Linked DNA regions of Nothobranchius furzeri. The protein of the gene in region 1 binds, or shares a complex with, the protein of each later gene. Links are inferred from orthologs where the notes say so. Each region holds a gene or a part of one and is shown in the gene's direction. Other genes may lie near its edges.

Region 1 (4,247 bases):
GACAGCCACTAGGCCTCGTGTCAGGCCTGGAAAATGGGGCTGTTGTTGTTGACCTGGTGGAACAAAAAAGTACACTCTGTTAATTATTTCATGACTGCCTTCATCTTTCCTTCCAAATCACACACTTGATTAAAAAAATAATATTTAGTAACAGGTAATGTGACTGTTTCTGCATTTCTACCAAAATTATGCAGTCACAAATTTCCCTTCAAAAATGTAACTTATAAGCTGGTTTTTAAGAGATCACTCTACCTGCCAAGAGAAGCTCCAAAGCTGCTAACTCTCCAATGTCAAACAGATCACTGAGGATAAAGGCCTCCGTCAGGAGCGTCTCTGGAAGAAGACGTGAACCCTGATGTCCTTGAATGGCGATGCCTTCTGTGCTGGCCTTGCGTACTTTTTCCCTCTGCTCTGCACTCTTTGGCTAAAAATATTGGGAAAATCATGTGTTTGAAAAAGCTATGTCTCAATATAAATCTATACATTGGGTAACAACAACAAATGTAAAGGTTAAAAGAACATTTCTCAAACATTTAATTTGAATAACTTCAACAAGAGAGCTGTTATCTCACCACATTCTTAAAGAGTGACATAAAATGTGGTTTGTGTTTCTTCAGTTGCAGATCCAGAAGGTGGACAGTTTCTGGCTGTCTCTTCAGTATAGCTCCATCTACTGTCTCCCATAGCTCCTTCAGTGGCCCCCACAGACTGGCTCCTGAACGAATTAGTTTATAATATATGCAGGCAAAAAACATGGATTTCTGCGTGCAAGTTTCTTATAACCGTACTCGTTCGCAACATTAGACAGACAGACAGACAGATAGCCTAGCCTTGCAAAAGTGATGAAATTACTTTCACATAAAATGCGCAAAAAATCTACACGATGAGTTAACGCGCGCACTCACAATGGTAGCATATTAATGTGACCAACATCATTTATTTACTCCTCACTGACGAAAACAATCATCAACTTTTGTAGTTTCAGTTTTATTTCCAAGTAGTGGGCAAATACGTCAACTGAACCCGCTAACAATTGTAGGGACATATTTATATATGGTTGATATATATATATATAATTTCTAAATGTGCAATTCATATATTTTCGCGTATTTTGTTGTAGAAGTGAGGTCTGGTCAATGTGTCTACAACCAAAACAAGCTAATGCAACGTTTTTCAGCCATGAGTAAGGCTAGGCTAAAGTAGCCTAACAGCCCGTGTCATAACCTAAAAAGATCAACTGTGCAATTAAAACTACTAAATACCAATAAGCTACTCACAAGATTTAACACGTATGTCTTTATACGTGTGTTATGATTCAGGGTATATTGATAAAAAACGTCTCTCAGCATAAAAATGCTCAGAAATAAGAATTATTACCTGAATTTACCGCCATCGGCGCCGCCATGATCCACACAGACCGTTTTGGACAGCAGCTGTTAAGTTATTGCCGGTGTGAAATGCAAAAAATAATAAATACTTTATGAAAAGTTCCAAAATATATTTTCTCAGCTATTAAAAATAAACGTCAAATGTAAAATATAGTCACTTAATAAGTCATAGTAATTTCTTTAAAATGTGGTTTTAGTATAAAATTATCAGGCGAGGTCCTCGAAAGTTGAAGCTACCGGAAGTAAACTTTTCTTGCGTAGCCTGAAAAAATATTTGAGAAATAATTTAAATTTACTTAATGGTTGATTTTCTTTCTTCAAATAATATGATATGTTTATTTAGTTCAACACTAGATTTTTGCTAAAACATATTACCCATTACATTCTCCGTCAGAAAGGTCAGAAATAGTTCCGCCTTGTTTTGCTCCGTACTCTTTAAACGTAACACCACTATTTCCATGCAGCATTATTCTGTGACCGCTCTGGTAGAAATTTGTGATTTTCAGTTATTTGTTCCACTATAAATTCTGTACATTAATAAGACAGGGGTCTCTGAAGTGTTATGGCTCGGGTAGTAAAAGTGTTTCGGACTCTTCGAAATCACTGGAAAAAATCAACATTAGCTGTGTGCGTCCTTTCTTATGGTGGATATTGGCTGTATGGTAAACACTGGTGAGTTTATTAGATTTTTTTACTCGCATTAAGTTTGTTTGCCACTCAAAAATCTTGTACCTTGTATTTTAGTGAAAGCGTTGTGCGCAGAGAGGCTTGTCAAATTGCCAGGGTAAAGTATAACTTCATTTTTTATTGCCCTCAAAACAATTAGAATCAAAATAGCAGTTTACTTCATTTTAATTGTAATTCTAAGTATCATTACTTAGGAATTTGGACGTCAGCAAATAGCACCACACGAAGGTCTGAAAAAAGCAACAGTGATTTTGAATCCTGCAGCATCTAATGGGTAAAAACTTATAAAAGTCACATATCTGTATTATCAGCACAGTCTTTCCCAAAACAAACACTTTCCCTTTCCCCAAATGTTTTCAGGAAAGCCAACAGCTTGTTTGAAAAGAATGCTGCCCCCATTTTACACCTGGCTGGAGTGGAAATTACAGTAGTCAAGGTATAAATAAATGAACCATTGATCATAAGGATTGGCATAAACCGAGTGTTACACCAGTCTTTTTCCACAGACAGACTATGAAGGTCAAGCAAAGAAACTGTTGGAGCTCATGGAACTGACAGACATGTTGATCGTGGCTGGAGGAGATGGGACGTTACAGGAGGTCGTCACAGGTTTACTGCGAAGACCGGATCAAGCAAGTGTAGCATAATTCTGGTTATCTGTTATGTTGTGTTACACCTTTATTAAAAGCTATTATCAAGTAGAAAGTGCACAACAGGTTTATTTTTGACAACAGGAAACCTTCAGTAACACACCAATCGGATTCATTCCTCTGGGTTCTAATAATTCCTTAAGTCCAAGTCTTCATTTTCTCAGTGACGACAAAGTCAAGTAAGTAATACGAGTAAAAAAGCCTGAATAGCTGAGACAAGTATGTGATATCATGTATTTATGGCCTTTCGTTTGACGAATGGATTTCCTTGTGTGAGTTTTACATTGTGTTGAATATTCAGGAATATCACATCAGCCACACTGTCCATTCTGAAAGGAGAAACGGTTCCTCTGGATGTGCTACAAATCAAAGTAAGAGATGGTTTACACAGAATAGCATAACAATCATGTCTCCGATGCCGATTTCAGGGGTTCATTAACTATACAAGTGTACCGAAGTCATATGATGGATGTGTTGCATTTGTGTTTGTCTGCAGGGAGAGAAAGAGCAGCCCGTCTTTGCTCTGGTTGGATTGCGTTGGGGTGCTTTTAGAGATGTAGCTGCAAGAATTAGCAAGTAAATTCACCCAGATGGTGACAAAGATTGTGTATTTCATATTTGATGAGACCGTCTTACAGTTGTATTTGGCCCACACAGATATTGGTATCTTGGACCACTGAAGGCAAATGCAGCACACTGGCTTCACACTCTGAAGGTGAGAAAGATCCTGCAGGCTAATCTGCACAAAGGAATATAAACTTGATTTTGCAATGTCATCTCACTGGTGTAGCTTTTCTTTTAATGTACATGTGTAAAGTCAATGTTTTGGTTATTTTCTAAGGAAATATGTCAGTTTTTCAGTATTTTTCTGATCATCGGAGCACTGAATCACTATTTCACATATTGTAGATGAGCCTTAGATATTTTATGTTCCTGTAAATCATAAACTTGGGTAATTTTCATAAATATTGTCTAGGAGTGGCCTCTGGTCCGAGACGTGTCCATTTTCTATCTGGCTCCCACGCCGCGGCCCCCTGACCTGCCCTCTCAGAAGCCCGCCAGGCCGAACCTGCTTCGCCGCATCGTCTGCAGACTGAAGAACTACTGGAACCCGCCGGTTAAAGGTGAGTGTTTGTTACTATTCTGAAAGTCCAGCACTAGAACACAACAATCTTATTTTAATCTTTGTTTTTGGTCTTTTCTTTGCTCAGAACCTCCTAAAGTGGAAGAGCCAGAGAAGTGGGAAGAGCAGCAGCTGTCTACATTGGAGCTTTATATTCAAACCCACAACAAAAACCCAGTGGAGCGGGTCAGTGATCTTCAAAAGCCTTGCTGCTACATACTCTGTTTACCATCAGATCTCATCTTTGTCCATGTGTTTGTTTGTATTTGTAGCGCATAAACGACTCTCTGTTGATCTGCGCGGAGCCCAACAACTTCACCGTTGGCGAGTTCATCGCTGCAGGGTCACTAGCTCCTCTTTGATTATTCTTTTATGCTTCAGAGGCCTTAAAATCAGTTA
Region 2 (3,956 bases), on another chromosome or scaffold:
ACTCCTGTTTACCTTCCCTAGCCTTGCAATAGAGTTCATCCAAAGCACTCAGCTCATGCTAAATAACCATCCTGTGGAGACTCAACCAGATTTTTCAGTGGAATCATTTTAACAGCTTAAAGAAACATCCTTTTAAATCAATCAATTATTACCTGCTCAATCCACCACCTACTCATCAGACATGAAACCGTCTGTCAGAAGCCACCTGGGAAGTATCTTTTCGACCAGTCGTGCGTGTTCTGAGGAGGCCCTACGACCTTCAGACACTTCAGAAGTCCACTCACTCGCTCTGCAGAGACAGCTTCACTTGCAGAGAACTTCTACTGTCCTGGTGTGTAAGGTAGGCTATTCAATGGCGTCAGAGAGGCTGATATTAATTTACTAACTTGTTAAATTACATCAAACAGCCAGATTTATTTTATAAACCCAGACATCACACCTGTCTGAGCCCCTTAGTGAAGCTCTTACAAGGTCATGTTTCATCAGAGTTCCTTCATTGTCTCATTTAATATCACTTTGAATCACCATTTACAATAATTTGTCTTTCATCATCATTGATAATAGAAATATAGTAATAAATTGATTTTTATAAACTATATTATTACCTCTGTGTCAAATTATTAACGTGTTGTTTCCCTGGCATACCCAAAGTACCTGGTTTCATCATTAATCGAATATTAAAAGCTCAATAATATTGATAATCCAACTTTTTATGCACGATTACATTTTATTGAATACATTTATATTCTATGACAATTTATTAAAAGTAACCACTTACAAAAACGTTGCAGTATACTACATTGGGCAGGTGGAAATGATGTAAAGTCATAGAATCTCTAATATAATAACATCTGTAATATTTAGATTCATCACATCCACTTAACTTTTGGAGATTTTAAATGTTTGCCTAAGAAATAAGCTTTCACATCACCCATGTCTCTCTCTCTTTCACACACACACACACACACACACACACACACACACACACACACACACACACACACACACACACACACACACACACACACACACACACACACACACAGTGGGCTATTTTAGGCTGAAAGACTTCTGACTCATAATTTGTTTCTTCTTTCTTTGTTGACTTCCGTAAAAGTCCTGCCAAGCGGAACGCTTAAAGCTCTAGTTTTCCTGTCGGAGGGCTAAAGCCGAGACACCAATGGTCGCCATTTTGGCTCCATGTGAGCTCCAGCACAGAGCTCCAGCGGACGTCGAGGCGCTGAAGGTGATCGTTTCCAGCAGCGATGGCTTCGCTACGGTCTGCTAGGAGGATGTTTTGTGCTGCGGCGCAAACGGGAGCTGTTTCCGTCCCAGCTGGCCGCTGGGAGAAACTAAAAACCAGTAAAGCGGGTGAGTTTCGTGGGGGGAAGCCAGCTTATGCCCGGATAATGAAGCAATTCACTTGAGATGAAATGGGTTAATTTATCGGCGCGGATGAGACGTATCTGCGCTGGAGGCTTACCTAGCTAGACATATTTAGTTTAGTGTGGTTTTTGTCTCTTTGTGGAACACTTTTCTCCATGATTATCATTTTTTATGCTTGTTTTTTAGGGGAAGAGGGTAAAATTAGACGTTTTGTGTGTATGATGTAGAGTTTTTCTAGTCAGAATGAGGGGAAGTTAAACTACCACTTCAAACAATTGGGTTCAGTTTACTGACCTGACCAGGTGCCTCAGACCTGACCCAGTGCCTCAGACCTGACCCAGTGCCTCAGACCTGACCAGACCCGGTGCCTCAGACCTGACCCGGTGCCTCAGACCTGACCCGGTGCCTCAGACCTGACCCAGTGCCTCAGACCTGACCCAGTGCCTCAGACCTGACCCGGTGCCTCAGACCTGACCCAGTGCCTCAGACCTGACCCGGTGCCTCAGACCTGACCTGACCAGGCGCCTCAGACCTGACCCGGTGCCTCAGACCTGACCCAGTGCCTCAGACCTGACCCGGTGCCTCAGACCTGACCCAGTGCCTCAGACCTGACCCGGTGCCTCAGACCTGACCTGACCAGGCGCCTCAGACCGGTGTTCTGATAAAACGTCCTACTTTGACAAAACGTCCTACCCGTAGGATAATTTTACGGTGTCCTCTGATAAAACGTCCTACTTTGACAAAACGTCCTACTGTACGTAATTTATGCACATTTCTGCTGCCAAACAATAATTCCAGCACAAATTTAAGTAGGTATGACAGTTTACCACTTAACTTTGCCAGAGTATGTTTGTAGCTGATTTTCATAAAGCCAGTACGGTTTCACACTTCTTTTTACCCATTAAAGTGTGCTTGTAGGTCATATTCACAAAGGTAGCATGCTTTGGCACGTAATTTTTATGCTTCTAGTTTATAATAACAAAGGTAGCATGTTTTGGCACGTAATTCTTATGCTTGTAGTTTATAATAACAAAGATAGCATGGTTTGGCACTTGTTTGTAGAAGCAGTCTGCATGCCAAGGTGCTTAAGTTATACAGCTGTCACCATTGAAGTGATTGGAACACCTGACTATATAAACTTTGACAATGAACTCACTCCATTATAGTTACAGTATATATTTACTGAATATATTTACAGATACATATATTTGACATTTATAGATCCAACAGAACACAGGGACAAAGAACTGAAAAAGAAATTTAATGTCAACTGTCATACCAAACCAGTAAAATCTGGAACACACTGCATTTAGCGTTTTGTGTGTGCCAGTGTGTCCTCGGATTGGAGATGAATGAAACTCATGAAAAATCTTCCTGGCATCAGCCATGGTTTTTACTACTCTTCTGGTTCCAACAAAGAGTTCTTCATCTGCAGTAAAACAATATATATTTAGAATTTAATGTAACCACATATATGAGTTGTTAGGATTAACAATAAATTACTGACCCTTTTGTTTGAATTTTGAGGCATATCTTCTGAGGTTTTGCCTCTGAGCCTTGTCATATCCTGAAGGGTAGGAGCTCGCAGAAATGAATGTGTAAATCTCTTCCCACTTCTTCTCCATATCTATGAATGTAAGTAGACATTTTCTTCTGAGCTTCAATATGTGCAGTTAACAATGCAAATAATTTAACTTATTAAATAGCGACATTACCGAAACAGCCTTAAAACACCGAAGCTGCGGATTCAGAAGTGTTGTCCAAATACCACATGTCCAGTAACCACAGCAGACTTAACCAAAGCTGCAAATTCGACAGTTTTGTGCAGAAAGCAGATAGCGACTTTACTTTAATATTGACAAACAATCACAAAGTCTTAAATAAATCAATAAAAAGTACTAATACTTAACTACTTACCTATTTTCCTGCAAATCTGACAACGGAGTAGCATGAAATCACAGCCGGATACATTTTGCTTCCCTTTTTGTGTTGTGCGCATGCGCAGGAACGACGGGTAGGACGGTTTACGGGGTAGGAGGAATTCCCGGAACACCGGCCCAGTTCCTCAGACCTGACCAGGTGCCTCAGACCTGACCTGACCAGGTGCCTCAGACCTGACCAAGCGCCTCAGACCTGACCAGGTGCCTCAGACCTGACCTGACCAGGTGCCTCAGACCTGACCAGGCGCCTCAGACCTGACCAGGTGCCTCAGACCTGACCCGGTGCCTCAGACCTGACCCGACCAGGCGCCTCAGACCTGACCTGACCAGGCGCCTCAGACCGGCCCAGTTCCTCAGACCTGACCAGGTGCCTCAGACCTGACCTGACCAGGTGCCTCAGACCTGACCAGGCGCCTCAGACCTGACCAGGCGCCTCAGACCTGACTCGGTGCCTCAGACCTGACCCGGTGCCTCAGACCTGACCAGGTGCCTCAGACCTGACCCGGTGCCTCAGACCTGACCTGACCAGGTGCCTCAGACCTGACCCGGTGCCTCAGACCTGACCTGACCAGGTGCCTCAGACCTGACCAGGCGCCTCAGACCTGACCAGGTGCCTCAGACCTGACCCGG

The links. The genes of interacting proteins can lie anywhere in the genome.
Region 2: the proteins of agk (region 1) and timm29 are in contact, whole or in part, in a cryo-EM structure (PDB 7CGP), measured with the Homo sapiens proteins. The link is inferred for Nothobranchius furzeri from reciprocal best matches to the Homo sapiens genes AGK and TIMM29. Residues at the interface, in NP_060708.1 of Homo sapiens: His33, Asn36, Arg39, Arg40, Cys43, Gln44, Gln47, Asn51, Lys82, Pro86, His89, Leu90; in NP_612367.1 of Homo sapiens: Tyr145, Gln146, Cys149, Arg150, Tyr151, Leu152, Gln153, Arg155.

What each region holds. Positions count from the first base shown.
Region 1 is NC_091744.1:88,194,907-88,199,153, reverse strand, and holds the start of agk (acylglycerol kinase, mitochondrial), read left to right. Parts: upstream 1-1,447; 5' UTR 1,448-1,950; coding exon 1,951-2,060; intron 2,061-2,132; coding exon 2,133-2,172; intron 2,173-2,269; coding exon 2,270-2,349; intron 2,350-2,435; coding exon 2,436-2,511; intron 2,512-2,581; coding exon 2,582-2,707; intron 2,708-2,809; coding exon 2,810-2,904; intron 2,905-3,026; coding exon 3,027-3,096; intron 3,097-3,221; coding exon 3,222-3,301; intron 3,302-3,382; coding exon 3,383-3,440; intron 3,441-3,701; coding exon 3,702-3,849; intron 3,850-3,936; coding exon 3,937-4,034; intron 4,035-4,120; coding exon 4,121-4,191; intron 4,192-4,247. Other genes in the region: nuclear pore complex protein Nup205, read right to left, coding at 1-53, 253-424, 573-755. UniProt on the Homo sapiens protein: Lipid kinase that can phosphorylate both monoacylglycerol and diacylglycerol to form lysophosphatidic acid (LPA) and phosphatidic acid (PA), respectively. Does not phosphorylate sphingosine. Phosphorylates ceramide.
Region 2 is NC_091758.1:12,736,166-12,740,121, forward strand, and holds the start of timm29 (mitochondrial import inner membrane translocase subunit Tim29), read left to right. Parts: upstream 1-1,156; 5' UTR 1,157-1,265; coding exon 1,266-1,371; intron 1,372-3,956. UniProt on the Homo sapiens protein: Component of the TIM22 complex, a complex that mediates the import and insertion of multi-pass transmembrane proteins into the mitochondrial inner membrane.